Danio rerio: one gene and its partners. The protein of the gene in region 4 purifies or fractionates together with the protein of the main gene of each other region. This does not show direct contact. Links are inferred from orthologs where the notes say so. Each region holds a gene or a part of one and is shown on either strand. Other genes may lie near its edges. The genes, in order: polr3f, polr1e, crcp, si:ch211-140b10.6 and polr3c.

Evidence for each region.
Region 1: the proteins of si:ch211-140b10.6 (region 4) and polr3f purify together in Homo sapiens (affinity purification with mass spectrometry; 3 studies listed by BioGRID and IntAct, with this or other methods). This does not show direct contact. The link is inferred for Danio rerio from reciprocal best matches to the Homo sapiens genes POLR1D and POLR3F.
Region 2: the proteins of si:ch211-140b10.6 (region 4) and polr1e purify together in Homo sapiens (affinity purification with mass spectrometry; 3 studies listed by BioGRID and IntAct, with this or other methods). This does not show direct contact. The link is inferred for Danio rerio from reciprocal best matches to the Homo sapiens genes POLR1D and POLR1E.
Region 3: the proteins of si:ch211-140b10.6 (region 4) and crcp purify together in Homo sapiens (affinity purification with mass spectrometry; 5 studies listed by BioGRID and IntAct, with this or other methods). This does not show direct contact. The link is inferred for Danio rerio from reciprocal best matches to the Homo sapiens genes POLR1D and CRCP.
Region 5: the proteins of si:ch211-140b10.6 (region 4) and polr3c purify together in Homo sapiens (affinity purification with mass spectrometry; 3 studies listed by BioGRID and IntAct, with this or other methods). This does not show direct contact. The link is inferred for Danio rerio from reciprocal best matches to the Homo sapiens genes POLR1D and POLR3C.

The regions. Positions count from the first base shown.
Region 1 is NC_133197.1:25,888,525-25,892,728, forward strand, and holds the start of polr3f (DNA-directed RNA polymerase III subunit RPC6), read right to left. Parts: upstream 2,808-4,204; 5' UTR 2,606-2,807; intron 669-2,605; exon of another isoform or gene 540-668; coding exon of another isoform or gene 484-539; intron 1-483. Other genes in the region: dzank1 (double zinc ribbon and ankyrin repeat-containing protein 1), read left to right, coding at 3,123-3,231, 3,585-3,735. UniProt on the Homo sapiens protein: DNA-dependent RNA polymerase catalyzes the transcription of DNA into RNA using the four ribonucleoside triphosphates as substrates.
Region 2 is NC_133176.1:21,147,711-21,151,909, forward strand, and holds the start of polr1e (DNA-directed RNA polymerase I subunit RPA49), read right to left. Parts: upstream 2,810-4,199; 5' UTR 2,775-2,809; coding exon 2,717-2,774; intron 2,495-2,716; coding exon 2,391-2,494; intron 2,278-2,390; coding exon 2,201-2,277; intron 2,120-2,200; coding exon 2,034-2,119; intron 282-2,033; coding exon 229-281; intron 1-228. UniProt on the Homo sapiens protein: Component of RNA polymerase I (Pol I), a DNA-dependent RNA polymerase which synthesizes ribosomal RNA precursors using the four ribonucleoside triphosphates as substrates.
Region 3 is NC_133196.1:33,901,381-33,903,997, reverse strand, and holds the end of crcp (DNA-directed RNA polymerase III subunit RPC9), read left to right. Parts: intron 1-1,780; coding exon 1,781-1,918; 3' UTR 1,919-2,108; downstream 2,109-2,617. UniProt on the Homo sapiens protein: DNA-dependent RNA polymerase catalyzes the transcription of DNA into RNA using the four ribonucleoside triphosphates as substrates.
Region 4 is NC_133199.1:25,556,368-25,560,498, reverse strand, and holds the start of si:ch211-140b10.6 (protein POLR1D-like), read right to left. Parts: upstream 2,812-4,131; 5' UTR 2,725-2,811; coding exon 2,702-2,724; intron 2,409-2,701; coding exon 2,334-2,408; intron 46-2,333; coding exon 1-45.
Region 5 is NC_133191.1:14,620,371-14,623,887, forward strand, and holds part of polr3c (DNA-directed RNA polymerase III subunit RPC3), read left to right. Parts: intron 1-326; coding exon 327-428; intron 429-518; coding exon 519-568; intron 569-1,022; coding exon 1,023-1,172; intron 1,173-2,103; coding exon 2,104-2,220; intron 2,221-3,171; coding exon 3,172-3,253; 3' UTR 3,254-3,291; exon of another isoform or gene 3,292-3,517. UniProt on the Homo sapiens protein: DNA-dependent RNA polymerase catalyzes the transcription of DNA into RNA using the four ribonucleoside triphosphates as substrates.

The DNA of each region.
Region 1 (4,204 bases), on a different chromosome or scaffold from region 4:
CTATCTAACAAACAAAAACGTATTGTCTTTGTGAAAAGGATGAACATGTAAAGGATGCACTTTTATTTTATCAACAAAAATACTTTAATGCATTTTGCTGACGTAATTCTGAACTAGTACTTCAAGCCAATAAACATATCGCATTAAATAGACATACATAAATGCAATGTATTGTTCTTCATCTAAAATAATACTAATAAAGAGGTTGTTTACAAACTCATACACTATTAAAACTTCGTCATTCAAAACGTACATGAAATGCAACGAAGCTCTCTAAGTTACTAAGAAAGAGATTTTGCTTCATGTTGTCAGACTTTTCGGTATCTAAACATGTACACGTGGCAAAAAAAGACAATACATTTGATGGAAACTTTAATTGCTTTTTTAAATCCATGTAACTTTACACGTTGTCCTACGGTGTTTTGTTAACGTCAACAGGCCGCATGCGCAAGAATAGTGTAACGTTAACTGCGTTCAACTCACCTATTCTCGATATCTACAGGGTCCGTTGACTCTTTTTTGACTTTAACTTCTGTCATTGTGCATCAGACTGGAGTTACTGGAGTATTAGACCTAGTGTCAACAAAACAATACATTCATAGACCCATTTAAAGCTAAGATGAAACGCCGTGTGGTATTGCAGTGTGCGAGAGGCGGGGAGAGTTTACAGGCGACTGGGTTGCCAGACAGCGAAAAATAACCCATCAGACTGCTGTCAAATAGGATCGCAACATCGGTGGCTTGTCTCTTTTTAACGGAGAATTAAGCATTTTGTTTTGTCAAACCCAATTATATTTCGGAGTTAAGACACGACTTTTAGTATTTATAACGGAAGTATTCTACATTCGTTGATAAAACACGGATATGGCAACAGAAACTGAAAGCTTCAAATCTAGACAAAAGATTTACATCGCCACCTACTGTACGGGAGTATATCTGTGACTAAAATATCCTCATGATTTAAAGAGGACCAGTGTTGGAGAAAGTTACTTCAGAAAGTAATGCTTTACAGTATTGAGTTACTCCCCAAAAAAGTAACTAGTTACATTACTTAGTTACTTTTTATGGTAGGTAATGCGTTATGTTACTTTTGCTTTACTTTTTTTGACCTATGTGAGGCTGGCTGATCTCTTGCAGACATTGCAGGTTTTTTTTCTTCTTCTTCATTTTTTAGCTCTACAGTTAACAACACACTGTATAAAATTCTTTTCCTAAAAAAAAAAAAAATCTGAATTCCTAAAAATTATGTAGGATAAAGTTATCTTCGAATCAGTTTCTGAGCCCAGAGCTATACATGGTGCATAATGAATGTTTAAAAGAATGCTTTTCCTACTTTAGTACTTTTTGTCTTGGGAGTAAAATCTATTCAAATGATACTCTTTTGCTTTTCCTCCATGTGTTCAAAGTAATGAGAATATTTCCATCGCAGAAATTTATAGCTCTGCCATCTTCATGTCTGTCTGTTCCTGCGTTCTCTCATCGAGTGTGGCATTCATTTTAATTCAGCAATTTATTTTTTTAAAGCGAATTACTTAAACTAAAAAGTAACTCACATTACACTTTTTAAAAAGTAACTAAAATTTTATTACTTAATTTCTGAAGGTAATGTGTTACTTTATTCGTTACTTAGAAAAGTAATACTATCACGGAACTCACGTTACTTGTAATGCGCATTACCTCCAACACTGTAGAAGACTCCCGTTAAAATATAATTTAGAGTTATAAATAGACCATTTCGATGTGGCAATGTCACTGACCCATGAACATTTCCTGCTCGTTGTTGAACTACTTCATAACTGTAACAAATCAATTTAATCATATATTAACTTTAAAACAGCTGCTATAACATTATTTATCAATTTGTGGTCCTTTTTTATTCTTGGAAGCTATGGAAATTCTAAATGTCATAGAGGAAATACATTAGTGCCATTGTTATTGTTTACATCCCTTGAAATGGTCTATAGTATAATACCCCAGTAAAATACACAAGACTTTTGTGACACACTAATTAATTGTACTTTTGATAATTAATTTAAGCTTTATAAAACGTATATATGCTGTACTTTCAAAATAGAATTACATTGATCTTGTTTTATGCTTTAGGTCACAATGTTTTTAATTTTTTTTACATAAATTATGCTGAATGGCGATTTGGGTGTTCTTTTACAAACATAAAGACATATGATTTAAAAAAAAAACTTTGTTTAAAATATTGCATCAAGTACGCATGTGTTAAAATTTATTTAATGAGAATACACGGGAAATTGTTTCAGGTAAAATAGACAAATAGAGAATTTGTAAAGTAAAATTGATATAAAAATCTGATCCAGTTACTGGTCCCTAGAGATTGAGCTAAAGTTGGTTTTATATTGGCACATTCATTCAGTGACAAGTTGTGACATGTTCCCTATATTGTTTATCATGGTACTTTGAATATTCAGTCACACGGCTTCAAAACAACATTAGCAATATTTATTTGACTGTGAACAATGTTGTGCTTAGATAGTCATTGGCTGCTAATATTTTATATTATAATTTGCAAAAAAAAACTAAAAAAAAGTTAAATTATTGAGGAAAGTCCGAATGTGTGAATCTAAAATTTTACCACAATTCTGTAGAGGGAGCTGGGTCAATCAAAAGCCAACCTTTTAGACCGTTTCAAGAAAATAATAAACGATTTTGAATTTTTCTAATTGTGTTTTCCATGGACGAAAATAATATGAAGTAATGGCTACAGAATTAATGTCAAGAGGAGTGAGTTACCCCTTTAAATTTGACTGTGGGAAATGAGCGCATGCGCACTAATCAGTTGCCATGGGTAACGTGACCCACCAATAGCGCAGCCAGCTGTGTGTTCAGTCTAACATTACAGCGTCTTGTACACACCGTACACATCGTGTGCTTCGAGTGTCATCGAAAAAAACACTCATTTAATATAAATATACGAAATATTTACAATTCAATTGTAAAGTGATTAGAGATACTTCAATCTACAAAAAATAGTCTGTGTAAGCTCTTATTATCCAGTAGCCTAATGCACTAATAATAGTATAACGTTAAGCATTTTATGTCATTCTAATGATATATTTTATTTTCTATATTGCAGGTTAAAGAGCACAAACATGACTGCAGGATCAGTGGCAGCACCTCAAATAATCCCCATCCGCATTCCTCCTCCAGGTAAAGCCAAGCATGAGATAGACTCCAGCACTCCTGTTGAGATCAAGTCAGGTGAGTCAGTTTAGCTCTAAAGATACAGTTCACCCCAAAATGAAAAAGCTCTCAACCTCCACTTATTCTAAGTTTTATGAATAACTTTCTTCTGTTGAACGCAAAAGAAGATATTTTGAAAAATGTTGGAAAGCATCAGCAATAGACAATCAAAATATGTTCCTTCTATGGGAGTGAATGGCTGCTGGTTTACAACATTCTTCAGAATGTCTTGTTTCATGTTTAACAGAAGAAAGACATTTATAACATTTTAGAACCGTTTGAGTAAGAGGAAATGACATTTTTGGTTGATCTCTTTAGCACAAGCCTGCGTCTTGTTGATTTTCATGTGTTTTATAATGTATATTTCCCAGAATCCCCTGATGTGAGGGTCCTGTACACGCTGGACGGCAGTAAGCCGGAGCTGACAAAGAGGCCAGGTTTTGCTGACAGCACTCTAAAGTACACTGAACCTGTTCGGTTACCTGTGGGGAAAGTGTATGTGAAAGCCATGGCCGTCTCTATGTAGGTACATTTTATGCTTTGTTTTTTATAATAATGTGTGTGTTGTTTTTAACTACAGGCACTGCTACAAGTGTTGATTTTTATTAAAACTTTGAGATTTTGTTTTGTGCTTTCCCACATCATGAAAGAATTTATATAGCAGTTTATTGTAAATACTATAGTGTTTTTGATTGTAATATAGTATTTACAACACTTTGTTAATGAATGCTACAGCATAGTGAAGTATTAACTATAGTAAACTGTAAATCTGTAATAAATACTGTATTAACTTTTGGTTTTACAACAGCAAACTGTGGAGTATTGTAGTATAATAAACCATTTAGTTGTAGAAAACCTTTATATTTAAGAAACTAGTTTGTTACTACATGTGTTGTAATACCTAAACAATTAATTGAGTTAGCGCAACAGATTAATTTAAACGTACAATAGTATGGTTTGAAAACCTTATTACTTATAATATATAATATTT
Region 2 (4,199 bases), on a different chromosome or scaffold from region 4:
AAATATTATTTACTGTCATCATGGCAAAGATAAAAAAAAATCAGTTATTAAAATTATTGTTTAGAAATGTGCTAAAAAAAACTTCTCTCCGTCAAACAGAAATTGGGGAGAAAATAAACAGGGGGCTAATAATTAGGGTGGGCTAATAATTCTGACTTCAACGGTATATACAGTTTAATATAGTAATATGTTCAATACATTTAGACATTCACCTGATGAGCTACTTACCTTATCTCTGAATGTTGAGGGTTGATTTTCGCTTTCAGCTTCTGTTGCTTCACCTGAAGACACAGAATTAACAATGCACATCCTGTTCAGTGACAAACAATTAAACTAAATAAAACCATAACTCACTTTCCTGGCTCCAAGGCTGTGTTAACATGGCGAGGCTTAGTGCACAAATCTGATTTTTTTCTCAGATCTGATTTATTTTTTTTGGCATAGCTGTTTACATTGTTGTTATTAATGTGGCCAATATCAGATTTGCAGTGTGAACAGATCTGCATGCGCAAAAGTACATTACGGACAGCACAAAATGTCTAATTTTGCACGAAATGTATGAAGTAAGCAAATTGTCAGATCATGCTTACATGATTATTGCCCTTTTCATATTTCATAAAATTTAAAGGATTGTTCTGCTACTACGAACGCGTATTACGGCATTTCAGACCTAAAATAAGTCACTTGTGATTTGAAAACACTGATCATTTGTGATCTATGACAACCGCGGTGCGTGTCTTTCTGACCACCGCTGTGGTAAACTCATCAAGGGTTAATGAGCAGTCGCAAACTGAACTGTGAAGGTGGAGTTGGTCTCTGTTTGCAGAGTTATTTTATTTTACTTCCTTATAAACAGCAGGCACGTGCTGAAGGGGGATTCGGGTGCTCGAGCACCTGCCCTTTTTTCTATTGGAAAGAAATTTCCCCCTTAAAATGAAAGTGCCCCCTCCTTAGTGTACGCATCGTTAACAAAACCAGTTTTGCCTTCAAAATCTTTTTTAAAATGAACAACCAATTTCTGTGGTAAAGTAATTGTCCTGTTCGTCATTCTACAATGCTGCTGAGGAATAGATGATGTTTGCAGCACAGATAATGATGCATTTCGCATTTGATAGTGGCACAAATCTGAACTATAAAGATGAGATTCCATGCAGTTTGGTCATTACTTGAGCCACATGTAAGCAAAAAAATCTGATCTGGGCCACATTTGGCTGCAGTGTGAACATAGCCCAAAACATTACTGTTGAATTGGAAAAGAAAATAGTGGAGCATTATATAGTATAAAGTGTGTTTTTCAGAGTACCCCCTCCATATATCTGCTATGGGTTTTATATATATATATATATATATATATATATATATATATATATATATATATATATATATATATATATACCATTTCAATATGATATCACTGGCCAATGAACATGTCCTGTCAAACTATTTCATAACTGTAACAAGAGGCATTTCAATGAAATCCCATCTTAACGTTAAAAACAGCTGTCATAACATTATCAATAGGTGGACCTTTTAGAAACTATGGAAACAAAAAATGTAAAACAGGAAATACATTTAAACCATAGTTATTGTTTACATCTCTCAAAAAAGTCTATACTGCATGTCTGTGAATATACTGGCAGCAGCAAGTCACAGAACTTGTTCCGCCATAGCAATCAAAGCAGCAGCTGCGTAGCAGATCTATGCCGCCAAGACCAAATACATCAACAATGCCAAATACATATATATTACCATACTAAACCTCTCAGAGCGCTGTCATGACAAAAATATTTGAATAGTATAAATATTCATGTTCACTATAAATGATAACCATTAACGATTATTACACAATATAATAATGTATGAGATATTATACTAACAGCACTCAGTAACATGGTAATACAAATAATATTACTAACGTTACAGACTTAGAGGCATGCAAACAATTTCACCCCCAAAAACGAGTAAAAGTTCCTTTGAACTCTAAGAACCCTAAACATTTATGTCCATAATATTTCAGATGTAAAACTGTTTACCTGGTATGACGGGCAGCATATTGAACAGCTGAGCACTATGAACTTTCATTTGCATAGTCTGCTTGTCAAGAACTCCCACAAAATACCTGTTGACAACATTTACACACCATTATTGAGAGGTTATTTAAGTGTTGCTCAGCAAATAAATAACAACGTGATGACCTCACTTGCACATATTATTAGACTGCAGCGATCCAGACCCAAAATTGCTCCCTACATAGGGAAGCCTATCTGAATCTGCAACCTGCATAGAAAAGATAAAGTTAGTTCCTAAAAGCACAAACAACACAATTGCTTCAATTTAGACTTTTTAAAGTTATAAAACAAACGCAGTTTCAGTAGGTATAAGTGTTTTACCACTATTCGTCTGTTTTTCTTTCTGGGATTTGATGCATTTGAGTGTTTGAAGACAGTAAAGTCCAGCTCCTCGGCATTTTTCACATTTCCATTAGAGAACTTAACTGTAATGACAAGAATAATGCTTTAAAATACAATGCGTGACAGTTTTAAAAACTATACTGTTAGACTGAGTGTACATTGTTTATTATTTGGTCGAGATGACCATATCCACGTGGGTGCGTTAAATACATAGAGGAAGAATAAGATTAGTTTATTACAGCTAACAAATAACAGCAATTATATATTATGTTACATTTATGATACTCTGGGTATTAAAACATTACCAATAAAAGTATTCTGTTCCGTTTCTTCACATGTTTTCCACGAACAGGTCGCCGCCATTATTACGGTTTCCTCGGCTGATATTAGCACGCGTTCCTGCACGAACAGCGACACCAATCGGTTTAAACAGTTTAAACAGAAACTTCCATTCAATTGTTCTGATATGATATTAATTGAATTTGCACAACTATTTTTAAAATTGAATAAATATGGATTAAAAGCCTTTCAAAATGTATTGTAAAAGCTTTTGAAAGTAGTCTATTTTGTTCTCCAAGGCTGAATTTGGTCTAAAATGCAAAATAAATGACAAAATAAATAAATAAAGGCCTAAACTGATGTTTAAACTGAAATAAATAAAAATAAAGTGAAGGAAATTTATTTTAAACTGATGATGGCAAATAAGTATTCTTAATTCTACAAGCTTTTTATATTGAATTTCATGTTAGGACTGAGCAATAAAACTATAATATTCATACACTAGTTTAGATTATGTCCAGAATAAGGTTTATGCTTGTAGACATGACTAAGTAATGCTGATTATTTACACCACACAGACAGTTTGTGCCCAACAGCACAAGTTTCTATGATTTATTTTACAATCAGATCAGACAGCACTGACATTCAATTTTATTAATGCAATGTCTGAGGCTCCTTCACCATGTTTTGCAGAGGGATCCTAAAAATAATCAACTCTGGTGTTTCTCAAATTTCTCTGAAACTACAGTTTCAACATAAAGATTTTAACATTTTATTGTAACTGCACTGTAAAACCCAATCATTTTGATAAACCCAATAAACCCAAAAAACTCTTTTGTGGCAAACCATTAAAGTTTTTAAACAAAATGTTGAGAGTACATTTTCTATTCGACTCAGTCCCTTTTTTAATCTGAGGTCAACACAGCAGAATGAACCGCCAACTTATCCAGCATATGTTTTACGCAGCAGATCCCCTTCCCGCTGCAACCCATCTCTAGGTCTCTCTCATACACTATGGACAATTTAGCCTACCCAATTCACCTGTACCGCATGTCTTAGGACTGTGGGGAAAACCACACGAACACAGGGAGAACATGCAAACTCCACACAGAAACGCCAACTAACCCAGCTGAGGCTCGAACCAGTACCCTTCTTGCTGTGAGGCGACAGCACTACCTACTGCGCCACTGCATCACGTCCGACAAATAAATATAGTTTATTTAAACCAAGACAAATCTATTTTCTAGCGTTTTGGAAAAGAAAAGAAGGCAGGAAATACACATGACAGCTTTGTAACATAATATTCATGAGGCACGCTTCCGTGACCGCCTACTAAATCTAACTCTGACCCAATCACGCAATACTAAAGTAAGATTGACATGTGACGTAATTAATATTCATGAGTGAAGCATTTCTTCTACCAGGATTGGTAACGTTAGTATCGCCACCCGGAAGTTCAATTTCGAAATGTTTCTTAGAGCATTTTCACGAAAAATTTGATTTTTGGGC
Region 3 (2,617 bases), on a different chromosome or scaffold from region 4:
GATAATTTCACTTGTTTTGAGGAAAAACTAATAATTTTCACCTAATTTTTCTAAAGGTGAAAACAAATACATTTTTCACTTGATCTAAGATTTTTTAGATATTTGGACTAGAAACGAAACAAAGCAAAGGAAGAAAAAAAAAAAAGATTATTCATTTTTTTGTACTTAAATATCATCTTGTGAAACTGTACTCAAATCACAATATGTATCATAGAAAAATAAAACATTGCAATATCTTATATATAAATATTTTTCTGATATCATGATGCAGCCCTGAAACCTACTGTGGAAAACCTTCAAAACTACATCAGAACCCTTTAAAATAGTGTGAATTAAGGCTTTTTAATCCATTTAATAGGAAAGTGACCATGACTGATGTTTATAATTGAACTGAATGTTTCTATTTCAAATGTTTGCATGCATTTTATATCTATTATATTTTAACAAACAAATCAACAGCACAAGTGATTATCAAGATGTGTTAAAGGGCCATGAAACCCCCCTCTTTCGGTTCATGTCTACCACCGAATTTTTTCATAAAATGCTTTGTGATGGGCGTGGAGCGCTGCGAGCAGAGGGAGGGATGGTGTGGCCGGCATAGAAGGGAAGAAAGAGGCGAGCGAACAGCTGTCAGTTGGCTCACAAAATGAGATGCACACCATGAGGAGGCGCATGATTTATAGTTTTATATTTTCCCATAGGATAAGAAAACTCAGCTACGAATAAAAATAAGAAACCGACGTGTCATCACTCCACTAGCAGATTCACGCTACGTCGCTGATTTTGATCCCGCCCCAAAAATGATTTTAAACCCAGAAGATAAAATTAGCTGACAAAAGCTTCAAATTATCCAGTTTTCCCCTCAGTTAAAGCTAACAGGTGCTAACGTTGTCTTAACTGATGGTCAACTTACACAAATCTGTTTCATCTGATCTGTTACACAAATCAAATTTCAGAACAGAACACAGTTATGGTATTTTTGATTTGATGAAAGCAGTGTTGATGAGCAAAAGATACTTTTTCTTTAGAAAAGTACAGGACAAAAAATGGTCATGCAAATGGCATAGTAAAAATAGTCTCTACAAACTAGTCTGACAATTATATTAACCAACTAAGAAACTGAAGATGTAAATTTGAAGAAAAACAGGATTTATTAATTACTGCTCAAAGCCTGTGGTACATTTATAAAAATATATATATATATATATATATATTAATAGTATTGATGAATAAACAAATAAAAAAAAAAACACTTACTGAGTCTTATGGAGTGTGAGAGTCTGAAGGGACAAAGATGGATTTCTGAACAGCCAACAAAAACTGGATGTTATTTGTATGACATCTCTATGAACTTAACTTAGGCAAGGCAAGTTTATTTATATAGCACATTTCATACACAGTGGCAATTCAAAGTGCTTTACATAAACAGGAATAAAAGATAATAAAGACTGATAATAAAAATGATTAAAAACAGATGAAAACAGACCAAATGTGTTAAAACAAGTTATAAATGTGTTATAAAACAATGAAAAATAAGAGAAAAACATATTAGTGCGATCTGACGGACCTAGCACAGTGCTCATTTAGTAAAGGCACAGCTAAACAGATGTGTTTTCAGTCTTGATTTGAACGTGCCTAATGTTGGAGCACATCTGATCATTTCTGGAAGCTGATTCCAGCAGCGAGAGGTGGAGTATCTGAAAGCCGTTTCACCCTGCTTTGAATGAACTCTTGGAATTTCTTGTTTATATGATCCTAAAGATCTTTTTTCAACTTACAGATGGTAGAGGAAAGTGAAGAAAGGCTGACAGAAGAACAGATCGATGAACTTATACAGAAAGTCACGGACATCCTGCCCGGTGACCCACAGACAGAAGCCAATGAATCTGCTGATCCTCAAATGGAGACCAACCAATAGCATTACCCCCAGAAACTCACAGTTTAATTTTTTTTTTTTAGTTTTTCATCCTTAAACGCCCAAGAGACTGACTTTAGATGGGTTGACAGTGATAATACTTACGTTTACTGTTGATCTTTATTATGTCAATGAAAACATTAGCCATTGCTACATCTAAAATAATAAAAATCCATATTTATTTAACCATAAATATCATGTTATTTTGTCAGCATTGTTTCCCATGCACAATTGTCGAAGCTGCATTGATCTTTGTTTGAGTAAGGATATGATCTTCTGGGCTCAAGACAGTCTCAGTTCCTCTGCGACATCCTTCCTGTATTGCTACTCTTTATTTCAGCTCATAAATGTTACAATCACTGACCATTTTGATTTGTGAGAAATTGCTCAAAAGCAAACCCATACCGTTTGTATGTCCATTAAGTTCAAATGTGAAACTGTGAATCAACAGTTTTTGACTTTAAAACTCTAGTATACTTGTTACAACCAAGTTAACCAGGATTTTTATCAACAAGTTGCTTAAAGGATTGTTTCACTTATAGAATGAAAAATGTCCTGGTAATGTACTCACTCTTTTGTCTTCCAAGATGTTGAATAAAAGTAAGGTACTTGGGGAGACATGCATGACTTGTACGGTGCTCCGTGTTATGAATTTCCAAACTGATATTTCAGTACAGCTTGAAAGGACTCTAAATTATTTTT
Region 4 (4,131 bases):
TTGAGGAGAAAGCGCTTGTTTGTGCTTCCCAGTGGACATTTCATCCTAAAACAAAACGGCAATTTAAGCAGCTTTAGGAGACATATATAGTAGTTAATTACACACATACATACATACATACATACATACATACATTCCATAGATATATACACTATCGCATATGGTTCCTGAGCATGCGTCAATTGCGCCGCCACATTTGTACAGTGCTCCCAGGACATCATTCAACTGCACTAATCAAGACTAAAGCCAATGTGAAGATGCTGGACTTTAGCACTGCTTACGGGTGTAGTAACAAGCAAACAAAGAAAACCAAGCACAAAGGCAGAACATTTCATAGGTAAGATTTCGTTTTTTATGTTTTTGTATGTTACAAACTGGCACTCAATTCTAGACTTATGCTAGTTTTGTTGAATAAAATGAGATAACAATGTAAATGAAATATAACAAGAAGGTGCTGCTGTGAAAACTTGTATTATTGTCAACTAAGTGATCAAGTCCTTCTTAACAGAGATTCATTCACAAACGAATCCCTCCCTCCGTTGGAATGAAAAGTGAAAGCAGGAGAGGGGGTGTGTTTAAGGACATGAATTAGATCAAATTAAACAGGGAGGGTAGATAATACATTTCCATGCACACAATCACACACTCTTTGCCAGGAATGCCCATGCAATCATTTATCCATCAATATAGAAAAGTGATGTAAACTTATAATTTTTGTAATTTCATAAAATATTTGCATACTGACCAATGGAAAACCCCCCGATCGTAAATAAATGTGTATATGTGTATATATGGATGGCCAGTCCTCCGCTGCACCTTGAACCCACATTCATTTTAAAGAAGCGCTACCCTGTACTAAAATGGCGACTCTATCGACAAATTCCTTTCAATAGATGAAAAAAGCGTAGGCAACATCTAATGTAAATGTCTATACATACATACATACTGTACATACATCTTTTGATTTGGAGGACGATAACCAACATTTTAAACATAAATCGCGTAACCTTCACAGAGCAAATTAGCATGCAACTTGACTGTTGCATAAAAATAATAGGTTAAATGACAGAACTGTATTTAATTAACAAACAAGTTAAATACATATATTTTAATAAAATGAAAAGGAAAATGAAAGAACTAAGGACTGAAGCCAGCTCAAATGTTCTACAATTATTAGTCATTTGACACTTTTGTTACCGCACTCCCACAAGATTCTCCCGTAAAAACACCAGTAAAAACGATTACACCCAATTAAAAATAAATATTTCTTCTAGCCATTTTCCAATGAATACAGCCAATCATCTTTGGTTTATTTAAACAGAACAGTTATATGGTTCAGTCATTTAACACCTTCGAGGATAGAAAATAATACACTTACAATCAAACAAGTTTTTGCAAAAAAAAAAAAAAAAAAGTATTTTTCCCGTTTATTAATATATTATTTAATATTTTCCCCCAGTATATTAATTAAGGTGTACTGATTTTTGCACTGTGATCTTAAATAGTTTTTTTTAATTATAAGCTTGTCATAATATCTATTTTTTCTTGTATGATATATTGCACCAACATATATTATGATGAACAATATTGTCATTTTGAGACCATTTTATGCCACTTATTATATAATGCCAAAATGACAATATAATAACATCAAAATGCAAGTACACTCTTCTAAAGACCACATAATATTTTATTCTTAAGGATGTTTCATTTAATTTATAGTCATTTTAACTTTAATAATGAGGCAGGGGAATCAGCATGTGAAAACACATATCCTGAATAAATAGTAGTAAAAAGTGCAATGTAAAAAGTAACAGAGGCTGCAAGATCTGCTACCAGATCTATTTTCAGTTGTCAGACACCTGCATGAAAATATACTACAGTAACATAAAGAGGTTGCACCATCAGCTAAAATGTTGCTAGAATTGACTTTTATATATGGGCAATATATATTACATCACCAAAAATGATAGATGTCATGTCAATGTGTTGTGCGATAAGTCGATATATTGATTATTGTGAAAAGCATATTTGATTAGTCACAGTTTTGGCTTTTGTACCTTAAAATCTAAAGAGTTTGTGCAAAATGCATTACTGTAAAGCATTTTATACTACATATTAATTTAAAATACAGATCTTTAAGGGGTGTACTCAGTACTGTATATATACATACACAGGTTTAAGTTCACATCCGAAAACCAAAGTTACACCCTTGTGTGTGTGCGCGTGTGTGTAAAAGAGTGGGGGCAATAGTGGTTACTAATAATAGAAAAAGACTTCAAATTGGTCACTTTAAATATCTGTAATTTATCAATTTAGTGATCCAAACTTACCATCCAGCAGGACCCATTGTCTCGACACGGGCTTTTGCTCTGTTCGCTTCTTTAAGGAGCTCCTCCACTGCTTTTCTGGGGAAATTATTTACAGTGAGACATTTGACGACAGAAACGGGTTAATTTATGTATTACCGTGACCCCAAATTAAATAGCACGTTTAAATCTCTGACGGTGCAAAATAGACTTTTCTAGGATACCGAAATGTTTGCTATATAACAAAAGTATGGTGCTTCGTCTCAGGTTTTGGTTTACACAAATTTACTGACCAATTTGCACGAAGCCGAGGGCGTTAGCATATTCTGCATCGTAAACTAGTCCAATAAACTGGTCAAAAGGGGGAAAATTGACATTTAGAAATATCATACCTTTCCAGTTCACTGTCTTCCATGATCTAATTAACCTTAAACCGCAGTCACTGTTAATTTATAGCTTGTTCCAGCTTGCTAACCAGTAACGTTAGTGTTTACTATTCTCGAGGACCCAATTTAGGACCCCGGTCCGCTTGACCATCTTAGTTTTGACTAAATTTGCGGAAGTGAGCAGACAGTAAAATTCAAACTAAAAATGTAGAAACTATCTGCACTTGGAACAAAAAGTACGTACATTTAAACAGTCTATTTTAGTTTATTATTTGACTTAATAATAGGTTTTACGATCGCACTTTAATCAGGCATCTCGATGGTCACAACTGATATTCGACTAACAGCGCCGTCTGCAGCCTGTCAAACGAACGGTAGTGAAAAAATCAGAGTCATTTCATCAAATGGTTCATTTGAACAGCAGCTCTGAATGGAACAGTTCAACATGTTCCGACGGTTCTTTACGTCATTACATGATCCCAAAGCGCATTACATGACATAATATCTTTACAGTCTTTTTATTTATTTAACTTATGTAATTTATATTTTAGTTTATTTTATGTTATAGGTTACATTTGTAGTTTTGGATGTCATGTTTAAATTGTATATTTGCTGCTGTTTAATAATAATAAAAAAATAATAAATAAAATAATAAATAAATCAATTAATCTCTTTTTATCTTATCTAAATACATGAATGTTGACAATACTTGCACACTTATCACATCTTTTCTATAACTGTGATGTCTCTTACATTTTAGTATGATGTTAGTGACGTGTTATTTGGGCAAATACATGTTAAAAGATTGTATTTGCTCTTTACACACACACACACGCACGCACGCACGCACGCACGCACACACACACACACACACACACACACACACTCATTAGAGTATGTTGGTATGTTGTTAATTTTTACATGCTACAAGGTTAATATTTTATTCATAAACAGAAGTTTGCGAAGTGTATACCAAAATGCTATTAATTTTTATTAGAAATGGAAACTTTGAAAAAGTTTCTAATGCAAATTAATAACAAAAAAATGACTTGATGTTAGATTTCATGAAGTTTTTTTTTCTGGTACTGATCCCTCACTGTAGTCTGATTGTGTGCCAATCTTTTTTTTTTATTACTAGTTATATTTAATTTAATATTTTTACTTGTTATGTTTTTGTTTTAATATTATTTCTGGATGTGGCTTTTTGCACTTATTGTAATGGTCTTGGATATAGTTTGTGTCTGAATTTTTATTAATACATAGTGTTATGTTTTAATGCTTATAATTAAAAAAAACTTGATCAAATATCTTAATTCTAAGTCACTTGTGAGCAATAATTACTATTTAATTAATGTTTTTTTTCTTTAGATATTTATTTAAATTAAATGTATTTAAATATAAGTTTAGATTCACTAAAAACAGAAATGCATTCAGAG
Region 5 (3,517 bases), on a different chromosome or scaffold from region 4:
AAAGTGTTCGTTTGATTTATTTACAGTACAGTTTTTAAAATCATATTTATTCTCTTTTAGCAGATCTATTTAATGAGGGACTTGCTTTGTTTACCAAACAAGTGAATCTAGATGGATTTGCTTTGTAAACATTAAATAAAAGTTTAAAAGGTTTTATTTTATTTACTTTTATTTCTTGTGTTTTTAGTTACGATAATCCTGAAATCATTCCGCATGAATCCGCAGATGTTTTAAAAATTCTTAGCAGAAATAGTAAAAACATGTCTGCAGATTCTGTCTGGCCCTTATCAAGACTTCTTTTCACTCCTTTTGTATTATATGTAAAGGAAATCCCCAAAACACCTGATCACGCACCCTCTCGAACCTTCTACCTGTACACAGTTAATCAGCTGCCCACCGCAAGACTACTTCTGCAACACTGCTACAAGGTACGTAGCTCGCACGAACAGCTTTAAAGCATTTGTTTAATTAATGAGTGTATTTTTTGATTTGATATCTGTGTGTGAACCTCTTTACAGACAGTTGGGAACTTGATTGAGCGGCGGCTGTATGAGACCAAAGAGAACAAGCAAGTCTCTTCTCCTTTTCAACATTAAAACATTTAAAGGGATAGATCACTCGAGAAGCTATAATGATCATTTACTCATCCTTTACATGTTTTTAACCTTCATGGGTTTCTTACCTCTGTTGAAAACAAACAAAGATATTTAGAAAAATGTTGGAAACCTATAAGTAATTTGAAACCTTTTTACTCTTGAACACAAACAAAGACATTTGTAGAAAGCTCAAAACCAGTAACCATTGACTTCCATAGTAGGGAAAACAAATACTATGAATGGAAGTCAGTGGTTTCCGGTTTTGAGCTTTCTTGAAAATATTTTCTTTTGTGTTCAAGAATAAAAAGAAAGCTTTGAAATTACTTGAGGTTAAGATAATGTTCGTTTTGAGTGAACTAACCCTTTAATCTACTGTGGAAGTTTTTGATTTTGTCATTAATGTTTTGTTTATTATTATTTTGACAGGCGGCTTTTGGAGAAATCTCAGCGGATTGAGGCCATCCTAGCATCCTTGCAGGCGACCGGTGCGGAGGCGACACAGCTGACCGAGGTGGAGGAGATGATCACAGCTCCTGAGAGACAGCAGCTCGAGTCCCTGCGACACCATATAAACAAGTACTGCAAACCAAGTCCCCTTCCTTTCTGTAGCATTTTATATATTGTAGAAAGACAATAGGTGATCAAATTAAAAAATCTGATAACAATATTTTAATTTGTGGGACATATTCAGCATTTCAGCCAGGTAGCAGTACAGTGGTAGAATGCTAGATATGTGCTAGTTAGTTAAAAACTGATTCAGTTCATTTAATATAAATGTCAGTGTTAAAGGACGATCCCCTGATTTCAAACAAATCAGATCTTTACCACTTTGGGCCCTATCGTACACTCGGTGTAACAAGGCACAAGATGGGTTTCCACGACGTGTTGCTATTTTCAGACCAACGCAACATTAATTTTCCCGTTTTCCGCCCCGTTGTTTAAATAGCAAATCCATTTGAGGCACTTTGTGGACTTATGGATGTTTCAGTCTAGAAAAGAGGTGTGTTAAGGCGCATTGTTGGCGCGTAGCTATTTTGAGGAACTAAAATAGACTGTTCAATAGACATTTATCATGTTTGTAAACATTCAAGATGCGCGCAATGGCTAAAAAACCGGGAGCACTACCATTTACAGCGAGGGAATGACATCTGATGTAGTACAGAGTTCGTTGTTGTCTTAGAAATAAGTTATATTGATTACATATTATATATATTATTTACATAATGCTTTTAGCGTATTATAACAGCTCGTCACTAAGTGATAAACACAGTTATTCTGCTAAATTTACATTAAGGTGAGCGCCATTCGTCTGACAGGTCTATTTGCGATAGCACTCTCCCAATGATTATTGGATAAGACGAAATGGCCAAGCATCGAAAAATACAATCTCATTGAAGCTCTAAGTGTTTTTACAAGAGAGAAGTTAAAGGTCTACAAGTCTTTGGATGCCAACAATTTTGTTTAGCGTGGTCATGTGCAAGAAATAATGTTTCCAATTCACCTATAGCGCATGTCTTCGGACATGTGGGGTAAACCGGAGCAAACCCACCAGAACATGCAAACTCCTCACAGAAATGGCAGTTGAACCACCCAGGGCTCAAACCAGCGACCTTCTTGCTGTGAGGTAATTGTGCTACACACTGCTGCCCTAAAGAGGTTTAACATGTATTAAATAGTTTTTAAACCTTACCGTTTCGTGACTGAGTGCACATTCTGTATTTCTGAATGGCTGTATTTAAATTTCTGTTGTGTTTCATCTGGTGCAAACAGCCTAATTGCTCATCACGGCAAATCTTTTCACACAGTGTGTTGTTAGGACACACGGTTACAATGTTACCTCTGCTCACCTAATGATTACATTCATAATATTTAAATGATCTGCTAATTGATAACCTCATGTGCAACTCTCAATCGGCATCTCATTTCAGAGTCTACTACTGTCCACCAGAGGTTGCAGTTTGGTCACGGATGAATGTTTTCAAAGCCTTTCTGAATAGCGAATGAATAAAATACGCAGTTTTCCAACAAGGCAACTCGGGCTGCTGAAATATAATTGGCTAAAGTGGCACTGGGTGGGTTAAAAGAACCAAAACAAAGACAGCGTTCCAGCATGTAACAGACATTTTCAAAGTAGAATATCTGACTTCAGCATTGTTTTTCAGATAAACAAGATCTGTTCGCTTAGCATGTTTCTTAAGTATCTGCAAACATATTATGGTATTTTTATGCATTTGAAGAGTCAAAATCGTACAGAGAGCACCTTTAAATATTGAATTATTTAGAAACTTACACTGACAGAATTACACTGTGGATTCCATCTTGTGGTCAGATTCGGGAATTCATTATCCGTCCGATTGTTCGCGCTTTATCGAGTTGCATTATGGGATTGATTTTAGCACACTTCAGAATGTCCACTGTAGACACATTTACAAATTACTGCTCCCTCAAATAGATTAAGGGTATAGTTTGTGATTTTGGATACAGCCAGGGCGTTAGTACACATTGTGTCGAATCATGTGGTTTATATTCAGTCAATCATTAATCAAATCTCTTCTCTTTGTGCTCATGGTGGCAGGTTGGATTCCAGCGAAAACCAGGTGGATGAGACCATTTTTCTTCTGGAATCCTACATTAACTCCACACAGGCCTCTCGCTGACTGTAGACTAGTTTAGGATGTGAAATAGATGGATAAAGGTAAATTGTCAAATGGAGATGTTTATTTCCTTTGGAACAAAGAGTGACCGATTTGTATTTAATCACATTTTGTGTGCGTGTGTGCATGTGTGTGTGTGTGTGTTTGTGTTTGTGTTTGTGTGTGTGTGTGTGTGTGTGTGTGTGTGTGTGTGTGTGTGTGTGTGTGTGTGGCTGCAAATGCAATTTTAGCATCCTTTTTTTTTCTCATGTGGAAAAAATAAAAAAG